Arabidopsis thaliana: one gene and its partner. The protein of the gene in region 1 interacts with the protein of each later gene in a pairwise test. Each region holds a gene or a part of one and is shown in the gene's direction. Other genes may lie near its edges. The genes, in order: AT5G26790 and PARVUS.

The links.
Region 2: the proteins of AT5G26790 (region 1) and PARVUS interact in a protein complementation assay, tested with the Arabidopsis thaliana proteins (one large-scale study listed by BioGRID).

Annotation. Positions count from the first base shown.
Region 1 is NC_003076.8:9,417,958-9,427,791, forward strand, and holds AT5G26790 (uncharacterized protein), read left to right. Parts: upstream 1-4,921; 5' UTR 4,922-5,193; coding exon 5,194-5,400; 3' UTR 5,401-5,742; downstream 5,743-9,834. Other genes in the region: SHM2 (serine hydroxymethyltransferase 2), read left to right, coding at 342-428, 508-558, 647-733, 825-946, 1,027-1,103, 1,197-1,321, 1,438-1,530, 1,703-1,795 and 7 more; AT5G26805 (B3 domain protein), read left to right, coding at 9,591-9,834.
Region 2 is NC_003070.9:6,666,198-6,676,680, reverse strand, and holds PARVUS (Nucleotide-diphospho-sugar transferases superfamily protein), read left to right. Parts: upstream 1-3,903; 5' UTR 3,904-4,174; coding exon 4,175-5,230; 3' UTR 5,231-5,586; downstream 5,587-10,483. Other genes in the region: AT1G19310 (RING/U-box superfamily protein), read left to right, coding at 1-257; AT1G19290 (Pentatricopeptide repeat (PPR) superfamily protein), read right to left, coding at 7,718-10,432.

The DNA of each region.
Region 1 (9,834 bases):
TTGTTCTACAATTTAATTTTTTTTAAAAAAAAAAAAAACAGGAGCAAAATAAGATAGTGTGTATGTAACATAATTTATTGTTGTTGTAAGACATTACAAATAAAAAAAATATGATTGCATTGAAGAAAACAATATCAAATGACAAATACATAGAAACAAAATAATAATTAAGTAAGGCACCGAGAGTAGAAATTAAAAAAAGCTTATAAAACAAAGGAATCTCGGTCACCTCTCACCAACTCCAATGCTCACTTATACAGAAGCTGAGAAGCAGAACCGCTTTTATATAATCGCACTCACTCAGAGAAACAGAGAAGACGATAGATAGAGAAAAAAAAAAAATGGCGTTGGCTCTTCGTAGACTCTCCTCTTCCGTTAAGAAACCGATCTCGCTTCTCTCCTCTAATGGCGGTTCACTCCGTTTCATGGTAAAATCCTATCACAGTCAGATTCATTCACGTTTTATCCTTCGTTTGATTCTGATCCGTTTTTGACTCTTATACACAGTCGTCTTTATCAACCGCAGCTATGGCGGAATCGGAGAAATCTCGTTCTAGTGTAAGCTCATCAATTAGATCAGATGCGTCATAATATATAATCTAACGAATGGCTTATTTCGATTTAAACTTTTCTGTTTCTTTATCAGTGGATTAAGCAATTGAATGCATCTCTAGATGAAATCGATCCTGAAGTTGCGGATATTATCGAATTAGAGAAGGCTAGACAATGGAAGGTATCAACAAAATTTAGTGAGAATGATCAAATTCACATATATAGAAGCTTTGATTTATTGATTTGGGGGATGATGTTACGAGTTTTTTCAGGGATTTGAACTTATACCGTCAGAGAATTTCACTTCTCTATCTGTGATGCAAGCCGTTGGTTCTGTTATGACTAATAAGTATAGTGAAGGATACCCTGGAGCTAGATACTATGGAGGAAATGAGTATGTATTTGTTATACTTACAATGGTTTACTTTGTTGTTAGTATATGATGCTTAAGGTTGTTTGCATCTTATTGACTAGGTACATTGACATGGCTGAGACATTATGTCAAAAACGCGCATTAGAAGCTTTTCAGTTAGATCCTTCTAAATGGGGAGGTGTGCTAATTACATACTTTCGTTGTGAATTGTGATTAAAGAAATCCTACTAGAAACCAAATTTACTAATGGAGACACTTGTTCATTTTGTAGTCAATGTGCAGTCTTTATCAGGATCACCAGCTAATTTCCAAGTTTACACTGCATTGTTGAAGCCTCATGAAAGAATCATGGCACTTGATTTACCTCATGGTGGACATCTTTCTCATGGTTATCAGGTACTTGGGTTCTAGTCTCTCTAGCTTGGTCAGTCAGTATTTGACTTTCTTTTCTCATCTCTTTGTGGAATTGATATTGTATCTTTTCCTCATTTCTTTTATTTGCTCTTGTGCAGACTGACACGAAGAAAATATCGGCTGTATCCATCTTTTTTGAGACAATGCCATACAGATTGGATGAGAACACTGGTTACATTGATTATGACCAGGTTGGTTAGTTCATAGCCAGCTTAGCTTAATGCTTCAACATTCTATCTTTATCCAATATACCATTGAGATATGGGTTTAATACATACAAGCTTTTCGTTTACGGTTCTTATGTTAAGTAATTGAACAGTTTTTAAACCAAAGTTTATTTATTTGTGATACAATAATTTGCAGCTAGAAAAGAGTGCCGTGCTTTTCAGACCGAAACTTATTGTTGCGGGTGCAAGTGCTTATGCTCGTCTATATGACTATGCACGTATTCGTAAGGTAAAGTATTGTCTCAACTCTTGAGTGTGAAGTTTAGTTACAAAAGTTGCAGTTTTCAAGGTTATGCATAAAAAATTGCAGGTCTGTAACAAGCAAAAGGCAGTTATGTTGGCTGATATGGCTCATATTAGTGGGTTGGTTGCTGCTGGCGTTATTCCTTCTCCTTTTGAGTATGCAGATGTTGTTACGACTACAACTCACAAATCGCTTCGCGGTCCTAGAGGGGCTATGATATTCTTTAGGAAGGGGTTAAAAGAGATTAACAAACAAGGGAAAGAGGTGAATTTTTCGTTTCTATATTGTATATGAATGAGTAAATAACTTCCAGTTACTGACTAATTTTATGTCGTTTGTAACTTTACCTGATAGGTCATGTATGACTATGAGGACAGAATTAATCAAGCTGTTTTTCCTGGACTGCAAGGTGGTCCACATAATCACACTATAACGGGTCTAGCAGTTGCTCTGAAGCAGGTTCAGTCATCAAACTTTTATTGAAACTGTGTTCCATTGTCTAATGTGTTCGCATGATCTCCTTTCACTTTCTGATTAAGGTCTACTCTAGGATTCTCTTGGTCTTGTAACTCTTGTTCATGATCTTTTGACTTATCGATTTGTTCTATTATAGGCAAGAACTCCTGAGTACAAGGCCTACCAGGATCAAGTTCTCCGTAATTGCTCAAAGTTTGCTGAGGTGCGTTGTGTTTGCTGATTGTCGTATTTTTACTTGAGTAATTAGTTGATATGCCTTAGATATCTTGTCATGTTTGGAACAGTTGGATATAAGACCTACTGTAATCATCTCATATGGCTTGTCAATGCAGACTTTGCTTGCGAAAGGATATGATTTAGTGTCTGGAGGCACTGATAATCATTTAGTTTTGGTGAATCTGAAAAACAAGGTACTTCTCATTCTATCTTTAATTGCTCAAACCCTTTGATATCTAGATGGAAATGTTTGCTTTAAATGTACGAGTTTGCATATGAAAGGACTGAATCTCATCGGTATTAGAGAATCTTAACTCTTGAAATATGATAAAACTAAAAACAATGATGATTTTTTTCCCATATATGTTGTGTGGTTTCAATTTTTACTAACGACATACTGACCAGATGGAGCTAATCAAGTGTAAAATGTTTAATTTTTGTACTGTTAACCTTAGTAGGAAGTGCTTAGAATAGCTAATTTACTCTTGTAAAATATTTGATGTTGGAAAATGGGTTTTGCAGGGAATAGATGGATCAAGAGTGGAAAAAGTATTAGAATTAGTACATATTGCAGCAAACAAGAATACTGTTCCTGGTGATGTTTCTGCCATGGTTCCCGGTGGCATCCGTATGGGTAAGGCTCTTATAAAAACTCTGAAAGAAGTAATGTGTTAGTATGTCGAAAGAGTAGTAAACATTCATACGTCTGCTATTTACCACCATTAATGTTATTTTTGAACAAAAAAGAACACTGAAACAAGTAAAGTGTTAGTATGTCGAAAAGTGCTAAATGTTCATGCTTCTTGCAATCTACTACTTATGAAAAAGGACTTCTATGCTAATTCATAGAGACCTGTTGATCACCAAGAAAATCGTGTATGTTCCGATTTGTTCTTATGATGGATGATGGTATGGTTACAGGAACACCAGCCCTCACATCAAGAGGATTCATTGAGGAAGATTTTGCAAAAGTGGCGGAGTATTTTGATTTAGCCGTCAAGATAGCCTTAAAGATCAAAGCAGAGTCTCAAGGTATATATAAAAAGTCTTTTGGTTCGGTTTACTTTTTCTGTGTCATGCTTGGGATTGTATTGATGTATCTATAATGTACTGCAGGAACAAAGTTGAAAGACTTTGTAGCAACAATGCAATCAAATGAGAAATTACAGTCAGAGATGTCAAAGCTCCGTGAGATGGTAGAAGAATATGCTAAGCAATTCCCAACGATTGGGTTCGAGAAAGAGACGATGAGATACAAAGAGTAGTTTTCATCGTGTGGATTGACACGTTTCCACATCTCTGAGATGCTTTAGGTACCTAAAACACTTAATTATACATAAGCTTCTTCTATGAAATATTTTGGAGGGACTCATTATGGGGCGATTGTGCAACCGTTTGCAGTGATCATGGACCAGAGGCGCAACCGATGGTCTGAAGTATCGCTGAAACTAAAGTTGAACTAAAAAAATCGCACTCCAATGTTGTCTCTTACCCTTTCCTTTTGTCTCTCAAATTTTATCTTTGCTTCCTTAAGTTGGTTCCTCAAAATTCAAAATTTGTAATGCAACTGGTTTAAGGTTGCTATGATGGATAATGGCAACTAAAGTTATAGGATAAACGATGCAGCTTTGATAATTGATATTGTAAACAGAAGTGTTTCTGAAATAAGATGTCTCGTGCTTTTTCACATAAACAATGCTACTTTGTAATTAAGCATGCTTCAAGAATGGCCTAAATGTGAAATTTGAGGTACAATAAAGAAAAAAACTGTCCAAAGTTCAATAAAACAAATTAGAGGTTTTTGTTGTCGTTTTTTGAAAAGATTGAGGTTTGTTTTACAGTTTTTCGAGGTTAAACTCGCATTTGTATTGTTCTCATTAAAAAACGACTATTAATATTATTTTATTTTAAAAAAAATTTAACTTGCTTTAAAATACTTCAACAAAAAAAAAACATATGTTTTTTTTAGAGCTAACCAACCTCAAGTTTGATTTTTTCATTCTGTTGCGAATAGAGACATACAGTTCAACTGTGAATAGAGTACGGTGCGGTTCAAATAAGAACAAAAATATATACATACACATATATGTAGAGATTTTAGTTACTATTGAAACCGCAACGCATTGTTTGGTTCACCGCACCGGACTGCGGAATTTGTGATTTGTTCGGAAAAAATTACGGCTTGTCGTTTTTTCAAATGATTGAGGTTTGGTGTACAATATTTTTATTCAAGGTTAATCTTGCTTTTCTTTTTGTAATTTGGTGATTTCTTTGCATTTTTTGTCAATAATTTTTTTTATTTTAACTCAACTTGGTTTAAATTTTTTAAAAATATTTCAACCTGCCACATTGACCACAATGATGGAGGAGGAAACAACTATTCATTCTCCTTCTCTTTTCAAAAAACAAATACTACTATAAAAGTTGAAAAAGAACCAAAAACAGATCCCAATATATCCAATCACAGCTGCACATCTCGAAAATGTAACATGACTAAATTAAACCATCACCGTTAATTTTAAAAACATCCAACACATCAAAAACACATCTGTAAACTCGCATGGACCACATCAATCCTCTCATGCCCATCATTTCCGCCATAAAAGCTTTACCTTTTTTCCACAATTAGCCAGGTACACACTAATTCGACACTAGTAGAATCTTACACACACACACTAGAATCCACTTCAATGCCGTCATCTATCCGCTGGTGGTGGCCGATCCATTTCACTTCATCTGGATCTGTACCAAGGTGGCTGAGTTGGCGTCGACCGGAGCTGAGTTTATTGTCTGTGGTGGTCGACGACGTTGTGTGGAAAGTTGTTACGGCGTTCGAGTCGGTGGCCTTGGTCTCCATGCTCTGTTTCTTCTTCCTCTTTTGTGGCTGCACCGTCTAGTTTTGATTTTACTTAATCTCGTTAAGATTTTTTGTATTTTTTTGTGAACGGTGTTTTATCACCGGAAAGTTTTGAATTGTTTTTTTTTCTTTTTAATTTTTAGCTGCGTCACCGTGTGGTAGTGGCGGAGAAATTTATGTTAGTGATTCAAAAGGAGGCGCGTGATGCTCACTCGAGAGTTATGATCATTTGTGTTTAGTTTTGGTTTCTTTTGAAGGATGATTATGTTATGTTAGGTTCGAATCTTGTGAACCAGAAAAAACAAAAACCTATGGTTTCTATATTAAGAAAGCTGTAAAATCGAAATCGTAATGGGATTTTGAAAACGGATATTACATAGTTAAATTGAAAATGCTTTTGGAAATTTTAATCTTCATATTCTGATTTTTCAACGATTTTTGAATATGTTTTTACTTAGCAACCTAAAGTTATAGAACCAAGCTAGAAAATACATGACTTATTCAGGCGATTGATTTTGGATTTTTCAAAATGTAGAATTTTTTATTTGGGCCTGCTAATGGGCTGGTTCGTTTACATGAACAATCAATGAGCTTATAGGTTACTCTCACTTTTACTAAGGGACTTATGGGAGGGAGTCAATAAACTCAAAAGCACCAAAAAGTTTCGCTGAGGTTAATTCTAACAAGGAAGATTTGTGAAGAAGAAGCTCTGATAATGGTGTGGACACGACTGAAGCAGAACGCGAAATCAGTTCTAAAGATAGCACCACTATCTTTAACTCTAAACCTTACTAGAGATTACTCTAAACCAACTTTTTATTCCGGTAGATTGTTTTCACTTGTCTTTTTCACGGACCTAGGTACAGAATCTCTTAGTCTTTAAAAAAAAAACAAATGTTTTCACTTGTAATTACTTTGTTAGATTTTGCTTCGGAGACATGTCATGGATTAGGACCGATTTAGCCATAGTGACATGCCTAGATAGAATACGTATATCTGGTCTTGTAGGTTTGGAACATAACTAAAAGTTATTAAATTATAGATGAATAGTTTCATTGTATTATTAAAAGGCAAAAACAAATAAAGATAATGTTGATAATCTTTAACAACACAAAAAAGAAGAAAAAAAAGTAATGGCATTCAAGTTTCCAAGTGCATGATGCTTACACTATCCATCAGAGTGAAATAAGCCGCGATGACTAGTGGTAGGATTATAGATGCACGCTTTTCCGTATAGATTGTATAAAATCAAGCCGCGATGACAAACTATGTCGTTTCCTCCTCCAATCCTTGGGATAACCAAACCGTGGTCCTTACTAGACGATAATGATAATGATAGCATTACAGAACTACCCAGGTACTCGTTTACGAAACGTATGTCTACACGATGAGGTTGTTGTGGTGGAGATGCGACCGTAAGATAAAGGTTGGTTAAATATCGAGAATGGATAAGAGAAACTCAGAGCTTAGAGACACACTTGAACTTCATCAGTGATTTAGCAGGCAATCTAATTGGAATCTCGATCATGAGATCCAAAGGAATCTTTGCCGAAACCAAATCGTCTATTTCTTCCTCTTCTCGTCGTATTTGACGACTTTTTCTTCCATTGGAAAAAAAATAGTCTGAGCTTTAGACATACACATACGGCATACCCATAGCTCAACTACAGTGTCAAGGACAAAACCCTAAACCCACAAATCTTTGTTACATTTTTTTTTGCAAGGGAACGTGATAAAAAAAGGTTTAGGCTAATGGGCCAAAGATGTAATGGGCTTAGCCGTTTAATAAACAATCGATGAGCTTATTTCAGAAAACGACGTCGTAGTAAGGAACTCCCATCAGAGAAACCCAAAAACCCAAAATCTCTCTCTCTATCTCTATCTCGCCCGAGGAAAAGCTCCGATAATGGCGTGGATGCGACTGATACAGAGCGCGAGATCTGTTCTTACGACAGCACCAGCGTCTTCGACTCTTAACTTCCATAGATTCTACTCCAAATCCGCCGCTCCTTATCACGGTAAACCGTTTTTATTTGTTCAGATTTTGCGTCGGAGAAATGCGGATGCTAAACTTGCGTGTATTGGCTGATTCGTTACCTTAGGGTTGTTGCAAGTTTCATTTGTGTGGAGATTCATGATTGGTCTTCTCGTCTGAGTAGATTCAGTTTCAGTGATCGTTATTGTTATTCAAAGTTTGCAAGTATTTAGGGAAGACTAACTATTGAGATGTTGTGAATGGTTTTTGATTGCTACTTTGAGATTTTTTTGTAGTGAAAGTTGGAATTCCTGAGTTTTTGAGTGGATTGGTGGAGGAGTTGAGACTCATATTGCTAAGCTTGAAACCGAGTTAGGCGATCTTCCGAAATTGCTCGTGACTCGTACGCTTAGACTCAAGAAGTTTGGTATTCCTTGCAAACATGTAAGTTTCCAAGTCTTTATTGTTCTGTGTAAGTTACATAGATTTCAATGTGCATTTGGTTATATTGTTGTTGCAGAAAAGTGGGTTAGTTAGGTTCACAGGTTTTAATATGTTACTTTAAAATGTGTTCCATTGCGTATTTTAGTGAGGTATCTATAGAATTTAAGGTAAAAGAGAAGAAAAAGTCGAGTTCTTTTAACTTTTTAGACACAAAGAGATTGATTGAAATGGTCTTGGAACGTTAGTTTAGCTTGTTGGTTATCATTCAAATATGAAATATAGGCTTGTTCGCACTTCCTGTCACTCACCAAGACATGTTTCTTTTCGTGTTACTGTTAATAGGTTTTGGTGAACAATACTATTGAATTTGTTCCATTACGTAGTTTAGTGAAGTAACTATAGAGGATCAATGAGAGAAGAAGAAAAAGTTTGAGTTCTATAAGTTTTTAGGCACAAAGAGAATGATTGAAATGTATGTACCTATAGTTCTATTTTGTTGTCATGGAAATGTAGGTTTGTTCACACTTCCTGTTACTCACGACGATCTATTTCTTTCATGTTGCTGTTAATAGATTTTGTGAACAATACCATGTTTGGGTTTGTTCTCTCAATTCTTCATATCTCTATTTTGGTCAATCTTCTTTTGAAAATTCTGAATTCTGGTTTTGCAGAGGAAATTGATACTGAAATATAGCCACAAATACAGGCTAGGTCTATGGAAACCTAGAGCTGACGCAATAAAGGCGTGATTGGTTCCTGTACTCATCGAATCATAAGTTCCTCTCATACTTTGTTATGCTAATGGAATGAGTTGTTCTCAGAATGATCTAGGCATAGCAATGTTGCAAATCACTTGAAACATTGTACCAATTTGCATTCATGTACTTGTTTTTTCCATGGTTATAAACATTAAGCGACTGTTCACATCCTGGAGCAGTAACTTTTGAAGTGTTGAATGTATCGGTCTTGTGGGAATCCGTTTGTTCACAAAATTTTGGAAATCAATTGATTATAGTAAAATATATCTTTTTCCATTGGCTACAAAAATTTGGTATGACCAAAAGACTCTAGTCGGACTGGGTTTAAGATAGGTATTTACTAATTTGCTACTGTTAAAAAAAAGAGTTAAAAAGTTCAGTGTGAGCTTAACCATTTGCTAAATTTATTTTTTTGAGTCTTACGCCCAACCGAGAGACCATCTACAAGTTTTTGGGTATCAATATTTTGTACTACCAACTTATCAATATTTCGAATTAGTTTTTGAGATTTTTCGATTCTGATCTATCACATATATGTACGTGGTAGTCTAAGAAAATATATGTTGAGTCTTGTAATTTGACTCGAGTTCATTCTACAAGCTTGTATTTTCAAAAAGACAAAAATCAAGCAGCTTGTAATGGTTAGAATAATTAAATAAATCTCGAATTTAAGTTTTTATATGTACTTTATTGGGTTTGAATGTAAGTGGTAGTATAGCAATGTTCCTATTATTCTGAAAATTAATAATGTATTTTCTTTCAAATGAACTCATGACAATTGGTCTAAAGTGTAAACATAAAATAAAATGGAAGGCAATCATAAAACATTAATATATATATTTTTATTTACTGTATATAAAAAGTATTTTTCTGTCAAAAAGAAAAAAACGTATTTTGTAAAATATAGGAGAAATTTTATAACTTTATATATATATATTTTATAAATTATATAACTTTTTTTTGCATGGACAAGTATTTGATCCATCTTATATAAGACTCAAAACTCCTCCCAATCGAAGTTATCATAAGTTTTCTCTTCTAATACCTCCAAACATGATAAAATCATTGTTCTACACTTTCCTTCAAACGAAACACCAAGAAGAAAGCAACAACTCAAGAGATCCTAATTATCCTCTATTTCCTCAAGAGATCGAGATTCGACCCATAGCTTATTTCCCTTGGGAAATCATCAAAACTCTAACAACCGATGAAATCATAAGTAAGTTCCAACTTCCAATGGAAAAAATCCGAGATACCATGCTTAGACATGCTTCAGAAGAAGACATATATCGCACAA
Region 2 (10,483 bases), on another chromosome or scaffold:
CATTGTCTGCAGCGTTTGGCGGTTTGATTCCTTCTTTGTTCAACCTCCATTTCCATGGTTTCCCTGATGCAGCCATGTATGGAGCTGCTGCTTCTGGCGGCTTCCCTCACGGTTTCTCGAATCCGTTTCATGGAGGACACTCGCATATGCATAGTTACCAGCGGCACACGGGTCGACAAGGACAACAAGACCATCACTTGAGGATATTGTTACTCATTGTTTTCGTCGTTGTTGTGTTTTCTCTCTTCTTGAGCTAGTGAGGAAATCGATTTAGCTAACTGTATTTCGCTTTTTATTCTAGATTTTATTGCATAAAAACATGGGAAAATATGTGCTGTGAGTTGGCTTGTAAACTGCTACTTTAGCAAATTGTTCATATATTAATAAAACCTGTCGGATTCTCTTACTGATATTTCTTAAGGATTTGACTTGCGAGTCTTCACTCAATACTTATGTTGTTTAATTATTCCCATAATGTTGGATACGATTATTATTCATCATCATGTTGTTGGCTCCTTCGGATCTTTTACTTGTGTTTATCTGCAAACACGTTTTGGGAGCCTCTTATTGTATTGATAGTGTCTCATTGCCTGCAAAAATGTTTGTTTAGTTTGTTCGTTAAGGGAGTCTAAGTATACTTTGAACTCTTCTTCCCTTTTTGGTGAAATTTTTTCAGCAACTAAACATTTTTTAGTGTTCATAGCTTTCGAAGACATGACATAAGATGCTGCTCCCTATTACTTGTAAGGTGTAGGTGTGGTTAGATACCAGAAGAATTATTTGCCTCAAATACTTTTTATTTGATACTTTCAATCGTCATAATTATATTAAAACTCACAAATGTTTAGACCGTTCACATTATATATTTTTCTAAAATAAATATTTTAGGATATACCTAATTTTACTTACTTTTAGTTTTCTTACTAAAAACATTAACTAACAACGGTGAACATATAAACGCAATATGATTGTTTGTGTTTAGATGTGCAGTGTCTTTATTTTTCGTACTAGTATTGTAGTTTTGTCCAAGTTTTGTTCTATATCTCTTTTCAAAATATACATACAAATATTTTGAAGTCACGTGCAGCCAATGCATCCAATATTTTTTAAATTATTAGGAAGCAACTATTTCAGAAGAAGACTAAAGTTATGGCTTTTTGGACTCATGGAAGTGAATGTGTAGTGTAGACCATACATGCTTATTCGAAATCTACCTTTGAGACAATGAGACCCATTGTAATTTTTTAATTTGTTTCTCAGAGAGTTCACACACACAGATGCAATAATCTCCACTTCATCTGTTTCTAATTAAAATTATCCATTTATGTGCATACACTCATGAACATGTATTAATAATAATAACCCTCCCTTCATGCACACATGACACATGCAACATGCTTATTTAATACTAGTATTACGTTCGTTTCTATATTTTATTTAATGTGTCATCAAAAGGCTGAAGCCATATGCCTTCATGGCTTCATCGATCATATTTTTTCAAAGTTTCATGATTTTCCACCGGAATAAAATGAGCTATATATGTTGGTCGCTAAATATACAATTCATATATAGTCATATTGTGAGAATTATAATGATAAAATGAAATGAGTTTAAATATATGAAAGTAAAAAGAAGAAGGAAACCTCGCATTCTCACAATGCTTTAAGTCTCAGCACACAATTCCTTCGAACCTTTTTTTTTTTTTTTGTGAGCACCCAATTCCCTTAGGATATAAGTGAAGGGGTTTTCAAGATAAAACGATGGCCCAACAAATCAAGTTGGCTTCTTAACTTAATATTTTTCTGGTAACTGTATATTTCTAAATTTTTACTCAATGCAAGTATGCAACATATGAAAAACATTGTGCAAGTAAGATTTGATTGGTAAGTTGGTGAATATAAATGTAGGTTCTTGTAACCGTTACTTGGTTACCAATTAAATAAAACGTTCTAACCGGTTACCTAAGTAATGGTTGGAGGGCTGAAATTCAAGATAGATCCTTGCACAATGGTTTTATTGACCTATTGTTTAGCGGTTGTTTAATTTGAGGATTTGTATGACTATTGATGAATATATGTAAAGTGGAGGCTAATCATAAAATTACGTTGAACCTTTTATTTTTACGTATATTATGTTTTATTATGGCCATGAACATAATTGGTTTAACATTTTCCGATATGTGGATATTTTTTCTTGAAAAACTCTATATGGTATATATCTTTGTATGTATTTCTTTTTGGAGTATCTTTATATGGTGTATTGCAAGGAGTTGTCTTAATCGCGGGTGTTTTACATAATGAAAGGAAATTATTTGAAGTAAAAAGAAAACTAACAAAATTATAAAAAAAAGTATGCAAAAAAACAAAAACAAAAATGACATGGTATAAATTCTACAAGACTTTAACACAAAAGTACTCACGAATTCACATTTGGTGATGAAAGAAAAGTCGTACCATTAGGATTTGAGATATTATTCCATTTCACGTTTGGCCCACGCGTCTTGCTTTTCTACGTTTATCTTTATGAGTGTTTATTAGTACTATTGTATAATGGAAAACTTTTCTAATATTTTAATTTTTATTAGTTTAGTTTTTAGTTTTGATTATTCAACATAATAACCATCAGTACTAACAAAACGAGCAAATGTGCTTAATACTATGAACTCAAAATGCATTCTTTGGAAAGGGCTTGCTTATTTGTACTCCTAATTGGAAATGAAAGAACTTCTTCCGCAATGAGACACTAAAAGTAAAATTTCTGAAACATTGAAACTCTGAACAAGTTCATGAGATGAAAATTGCTACATTCTTCAACTTTTTTTTTTTTTACAGCCAACGTTTTTTTATTTAAACGATGGTAGTTCATAATTGTAAGTTGTGGTCGGTCAAAACCAAAATTAAATCTCTCTAATAAATATATATGATAGGTATACATTTTCGTTTCAAATTATTACAATTATTAGGTAATTAGAAATTCGTCAGCAAAAGAAAAAGGGAAACCCACTTCCTGACCATGTGCTGATGTGCCCATTCCCCATGATCCAAAAAAAGTTTCTTAGGAAAAAAGAAAAGAAAATTCAATCATTGAAAATAAAAGACTAACATTTAAAAATAAAATAAAAAGACTATAACCAATAAGCCAAAAAAAAAAACAAGTGTGGCAGAAATATGTAAAATGCAAATAGGCGTTATAATACGAATTTTCAAATGGATCCAATTTATTTATTTATTGTATTTCATTTCACCAATAAATTTCGTAGTCATGGAAAGTGACAAAGGACCATAATAGAAACTTCAAAGAAAAAACTAAAAAACTTATAGCAAAAATGAATAGATTTACTATAAAGCTTGAAGCTAAACATAACATCTCAACCATAAGAATTATTGACCAAGTCATGTATATAATTATATTTCATTCTTTTGAACAGCTCGTTAAATTATTCTCAAAACATTCATTTCACGTTTCTATATCTTCCCCCCTATTCTTCTGCAACTGTGAATCGTACTAAGTACTAGCCACATAATTTTCAATAATTTCTCGAGATATATCTATCCGAGAAATTCGAATTCTAAAAACTATTTGTTTGTACTGTATGCACAGACAAACATAGCGATATTACGTGTGTGAATTTGTTTTTGATAAGTACTTATCAATCTCATATATCAACTTCCATGTCTCTTTTAATTTTGTGCATTTTTAGTAAGAAAAAAATACAAACGGAAATTATAAAAACTCAAATCTCATTAATAAATAATGTAATCACCCATTTAATATACATTATATAGCCTATAACGTGGATCTACACTGATTTTCGGTAATCATGTGGATACAATAAATTCCCACATTTCTGCATTCGATAAAACAACACATTTAAGTCGAAAAATTCAGTAAATAATTTGACCATTTTTTTGTTACCTGACGCAATAATATGATTTTCAGTTTTCAAGATTTAAATTTAAAAATCATGAAAAGGGCTTGGAATCTAATCAATATATAAATATTTTTTAATGAGAGAAACCCAAAATCTAAGCAAAACCATTTTTTTAATTTTCCTCTCTCTTACACACACACATGATAAAAAGTGTTTAGAGACAGCTCTTCTCTTCTTGTTCTCAGTTTGAGAGAAACAAAACCTTCCAATACAACCAGAGAGTCGACGAAGAAGAAAGAAACCATGTCCCAACATCTTCTTCTTCTCATTCTCCTCTCGCTACTTCTTCTTCATAAACCCATTTCCGCCACTACAATTATTCAAAAATTCAAAGAAGCCCCACAGTTTTACAATTCTGCAGATTGCCCCTTAATCGATGACTCCGAGTCCGACGATGACGTGGTCGCCAAACCAATCTTCTGCTCACGTCGAGCTGTCCACGTGGCGATGACACTCGACGCCGCCTACATTCGTGGCTCAGTCGCCGCTGTTCTCTCCGTCCTCCAACACTCTTCTTGTCCTGAAAACATTGTTTTCCACTTCGTCGCCTCTGCTTCCGCCGACGCTTCTTCCTTACGAGCCACCATATCCTCCTCTTTCCCTTACCTTGATTTCACCGTCTACGTCTTCAACGTCTCCTCCGTCTCTCGCCTTATCTCCTCCTCTATCCGCTCCGCACTAGACTGTCCTTTAAACTACGCAAGAAGCTACCTCGCCGATCTCCTCCCTCCCTGCGTCCGCCGCGTCGTCTACCTAGACTCCGATCTGATCCTCGTCGACGACATAGCAAAACTCGCCGCCACAGATCTCGGCCGTGATTCAGTCCTCGCCGCGCCGGAATACTGCAACGCCAATTTCACTTCATACTTCACATCAACCTTCTGGTCTAATCCGACTCTCTCTTTAACCTTCGCCGATCGGAAAGCATGCTACTTCAACACTGGAGTCATGGTGATCGATCTTTCCCGGTGGCGCGAAGGCGCGTACACGTCACGCATCGAAGAGTGGATGGCGATGCAAAAGAGAATGAGAATTTACGAGCTTGGTTCGTTACCACCGTTTTTATTGGTTTTTGCCGGTTTGATTAAACCGGTTAATCATCGGTGGAACCAACACGGTTTAGGAGGTGATAATTTCAGAGGACTGTGTAGAGATCTCCATCCTGGTCCGGTGAGTCTGTTGCATTGGAGTGGGAAAGGTAAGCCATGGGCTAGGCTTGATGCTGGTCGGCCTTGTCCTTTAGACGCGCTTTGGGCTCCGTATGATCTTCTTCAAACGCCGTTCGCGTTGGATTCTTGACCAGTCTCGATCGGTTTACTTATTATTAATACCGGTACATACATATATACAATATACAGGTGAATTTTTGTTTTTACTGTACATCGATTCGTAAATCATACAACCGAAGAAGAAAAAAAACATTTTGCTTTTTGCTTTTGTTCGTTGTTGTTTTCATTGGTTTTGTTTTGGAGTATAGAAGAGAATATACAAAAAAAAAAATACTCTCAAGTGACCAAAAGAATGATCAAAATGGCTAAATTTTTAACATTTTCTATAAAAGTGTAATTTTATCAAATACTATTAAATGGGAATTATCTTGCATTTAGAGCTGGAAACGCTGCATTTGCGTTGTGCATATGGGGAATGGAACAAATGGAACTTTAGAAACCGAATTTAAATTGCCAAACATAAGAATCTATAATTGTGAATGAAGGTACATTATGTCCATTGTCGGATTCTAGCTATGTGTAGATGGTTCGTAGGTTGAAGAGCACATGTGTTGCCTCATTTTCTAATTTCCATCATCCCTCTTTACAACAACATCACGTGTCTTAACTTTCGCTATTTCATTTTTTGGTCTTATGAAGATACCGAACTCATAGAAAACCAAAGTACCAAACCATAATAAAAGCTCCTTTCCACGTATATTTCCATGAGATCACTCTTATGGGTGGATCCGTGGATAGTAGCAAATAATTTTGCAAATAGTAACGTAAAATATCTCGAGGAAAGACATGTTCTTGCAGAAAAACATATTACAAGTAATTCGTAACGTTGTGAGAAAACATATATGCTTGAAGAAATAGCAATAAACCAAGTAACAAAGAAATTCAGAGTCACCAGCGACGTGCTTGTTTGAATCATATTAGATCCATAATGTTAATTGATTAATTAGAAAGTCGACGAAATTAAGTCATTAGATTAAAGTTTTAGGAAATAATTGGAGACAGAGTGTCGGTGGTCCGAGCGAAAGAAAGGAAAAGCACGAGCAATGTCCCATCAAACATTTATGTACAGTCACTACAGTTTTGACCTTTGAGACTCTTTTCATTTTTCATTATATTTTTTTGTTACCTTTTTAAAGAAACAATTCACTCTACATTTCTTTTTCACCTCCTCGTAATCTCTTAAAAAATTAATTTTCCTCCAAATCCACTAGGATATATGTAGTATAAAGAAAAATTAGGAGTAAATATCTTTCGCATTTTGATGGTAAAAGATATTCCACTAAGTGGCAGATTATGCTAAGTTTTCTACAAGTGTTACCATTTAACAATATTGTTCTCTATCAAAAGTAATATATACTCACTCTATTCCAGATTAATCCAATTTGTAACAGGTTGATATTAAATACATCCATTTTTTTTTGTGATAAACAATTTTTTAAAACTCTAAACCATTCTATTGTTTGTCTTGTAGTCTACAATTTATCATCCATAACTAACTACCAATGCTTAGAAAACCTAGCAAAATGTATCTTTTTGAAACATTTTCTTTCTTTCTAAAACTTGGATATTTAGGAACAAGTGGAGTGTTGTGTAAATAATTTTTCTATATACACTACATATTCATTTGTTAACTTTATTCTTAAATTTTTCTTTTATATAAATAAATCAAAATGCAAAATTTGTTAGCTTTAATAATTTTAGTTTTGAATATTTTTCTCAAGCTGAGTGACTTCTGAGCTTTCTGCGCATGTGACAATGGTATCGACAATGGACCCACCGTGTCTCAAACAAACCGAAGTAAGTACAATGAAACCGAGACAGACCGGAATAAGCTCTCCGGTTCGGCAGATAGCACACACAATCAAAGGTAGGTTTGGTTGTTCACATTCTAAAAAGGAAAAAGAGGTGGCTCGTCAATTTAAATCAATAGCTTGTGTTGATCTGAAGCAACTTTACTTATTTAATCAAGATCTCATTTATTACATTGAACATTATATATGGTACATATCTGATCACAGAGTCTTATCTGGCTTTGGAAGGTACAAGAACAACCGTGAGATGGGGAGCTTACTGGTTTGATCGGTTGATCAGCTTATCAAAAAGACCAGTGACTAATATCGATCGTTTGGCCTTTACTATATAAACCTGACAAAAGACAATTATCATTCTTAGTTTTGTCTTATATCCTAAAAACTATAGTTTGTCAAACTTGATTGAACTAAGAGGAGCATGAACAAGTGTAATGTGTGCTTACCTGAGGCCGCTCGAAATTTCAGGCTCCATGAATGTGATGTCTCGTATCTTTAAAACATCAAGGATCAGAAGAGAAGGCCGATAAATTTGAAGCCAAGTGATGGATTGTTTGGTAGAAGGATCACAATTTCCAAATGATCTTGAGACAATGGCACTGTTTTCTTTGAAGTATACAATCATACCACATCAATGGAGGAGATTCGTTGTAGCCTCCTTTCATGTTACCCATCAATCATAGCAACATTGAAGACTCAAAGTGATCTTTCAAAGAGTTCTACAAGAGGTCAGGATTTGTTATTCGTCATCATACTACTGCTTCAGAAACTCTCCTAACATCATAAAGCTCATTTGAGTTCATTTCGATCACTCCTGTGCTCCCCAATTTAACTTCCGGATCCAAAACCACCTCCTTTGGTATGTCAACATCCCCCTGTTTATCGGACCCTCTAACCAAGCCTTTCTCAATCATTTTTTCTTTTAAACGCATAGCTTCAGCAACATTACCACTTTTAACTAGTCCATCAATTAATGTGTTATAGGTAATAGCATTAGGAGTTATGCCCTTCTGTGGAAGCTTATGTAAAAGCCTCTGAGCACGATCTACATTACCCAACTTGCACAAGCCTTTTATCAAAGCGTTGTATGTAACAATGTTCGGGATAATACCTTTTAGAGCCATCTCATCCCTCAGGGTAAAGGCTTTGTTTATATCACCAGCAATAGCACATCCGTGAATTAGGATCGTGTATGTGTATTCGTCTGGAATAAACCTATCACTTGATAGTAAATCCGAGAAGAGTTTTCGAGCATCCTCGAGTTTCCCAGCTTTACAGAGACCTGCGATAGCAACATTGTAAACAATGTTATTGGGAACTAAGAGCTTCTTAGGGGTGCTATTCTCGACAGACTCAGCGATTTTTTGTGTTTTAAGACACGTCGTAGCACTGGCCTCAAGAAACTCTTTCAAGCTCTGGTAACCGGGAAGAAGCAGATCAAAATCCACAATCTTCTGCAATAGCAAACAAGCCTCATCAATCTTATCAAGACGAAACAAACTATTTGCAATCTTGCTGCAAATATTCACATTTAAGGTAATCCCTTTCTCTATCATTTCGAAACATGTAGCGTAGGCTTTATCTATCATTCCAATATTGCACCAGCCGGTGATGAGAGCACCATATGTAGCAACAGTAGGAGTTAATCCTCTTGCGCGTAGCTCGATCACAAGATCCGCTACTTTATTCAAGTGTCTATATTTGAAAGCACCAGATATCAGAGTGTTATACATCTCTATGGTGGGGAAGATTCCTTTCCTTTCCATATACTCTTTAACCGCAAAGGCTTCTTTCAAATTTCCGACTTTATAATACCCATGGCTCAACGCTTGATATGTTTGCACAGCTGGCTTACATCTGAAAATGTTCACATTATCTAGAATCTCTTTGGCTTCATTGACCTTCTCCATTTTACACAGCCCACTGATCATTACATTTAATGTTATCGTATCAGTCAATAGACCTCTTGCTAAGACATTCTCCCACAGCTTCATAGCTTCATTAAAATCGCCAAGCTTGAACAATGCTTCGAGTAGGGTGCTACAACTAATCTCATCGGCGTTTACGCCTCTTTTAAGCATCATCTTCCAAAGGCTCAAAACATCATGAAAAGCACCAATCCTACTATAACCTTTAAGCAGAATATTGTAAGTCATAACTGTTGGTACAACTTCTTTTTGGCACATTTGATCACAAAGCTTTAAAGCCTCGTCAACATAACCAGCCCTGCAATACCCATCCACAAGGGTATTGTACGTGTGATGATCTGGTTTCAAGCTCCAATCGTTCATCCGAGAAAATATTTGTTCCGCTTCAACTAATTGACCAGATTTGCAGTACCCATTGATCAAGGAGTTACAAATGGTAGTATTTGTTCTTACGCCTATCTCAATCATATTATCATGAACCCTAACAGCATCACGGATTTGACCAGTACGACAATATCCATCCATCAACACACCGTACATATGCTGATCCGCAACAAGTTTCTTTTCCTTTAGCAATTCAAACACATGTTCCGCTTCTTCCATCAAACCCTTTTTGCAGTAACCCTTAATCAACGAAGTATACGTAACAACGTTCCTAGAAACCCCTCTCTCAGACATCAACCGCAACACTCTTGTCATTCCCTCAACATCTCCGATCATAGCATACCCATTGATCAAACTATTGTAAGTTACCACATTCAGCTCCAAACCCAATGAACTCTCCGTTTCTTTCGCAAATACCATGGCTTTATCCACATTCCCACTTCTACAATAAGCATTAACAACAATACTGCAAGTAAACACATCCGGAGAAACCTCAAAGCTAATCATCTGATCATAAACATGTAAAGCCACAAAGTTTTCCCCTTTCCTGACCAAATTGCTCAACAAGCTATTACAAGACAACAAACTAGGAATTCTTCCATAGTTTCCCATGTTGTCAAACACATGTAAAGCATTCTTAACCAAACCCTTCTCTGCATAAACTTTCAGTATCATGTCAAAGACTGTAGGAGAGAAGGAAAATTCCTTGAAAACCCGAACGAGCTCTCCCCAGACAACGAAGCCCGAGTGATTAAGAGCAACCAGTTCACATAAATACGATTTTGTCTGTTGGTAATTTCTAGCCCTGGACAAGATGTGAACCATTTTACAGTAAGCCTTGTAATCAGGCCGGAACTTTTGTTGCTTTGAAGCCAAATTGAAAATCTCCAGACATGCCTCTGGGTTAAGCCTCAATCTACGCAGGATGGAGTTGAGAAGTTCATCTGAGAAATCGAGTGATAGATCATGTAAAGCTTCGTACCTGCCAAGTACGAGCAAACGTGAGACCCGCTCGAGTAATTCGGGTCGAATTCGCCCGTTTCCTCCTCGAAGCTCGCGGCGTAAGGTTCTCGAGGCTTCGGAGAAGCTACGAGTATAGAGAAACGGAAGCAACTGATAGGCAACAACGCGTGCCGGAGACCGTCGGAGCATCAGGAGAATTTTGTTGTCGGATGATTAACGCTGGAACCCATTAAACTTGGG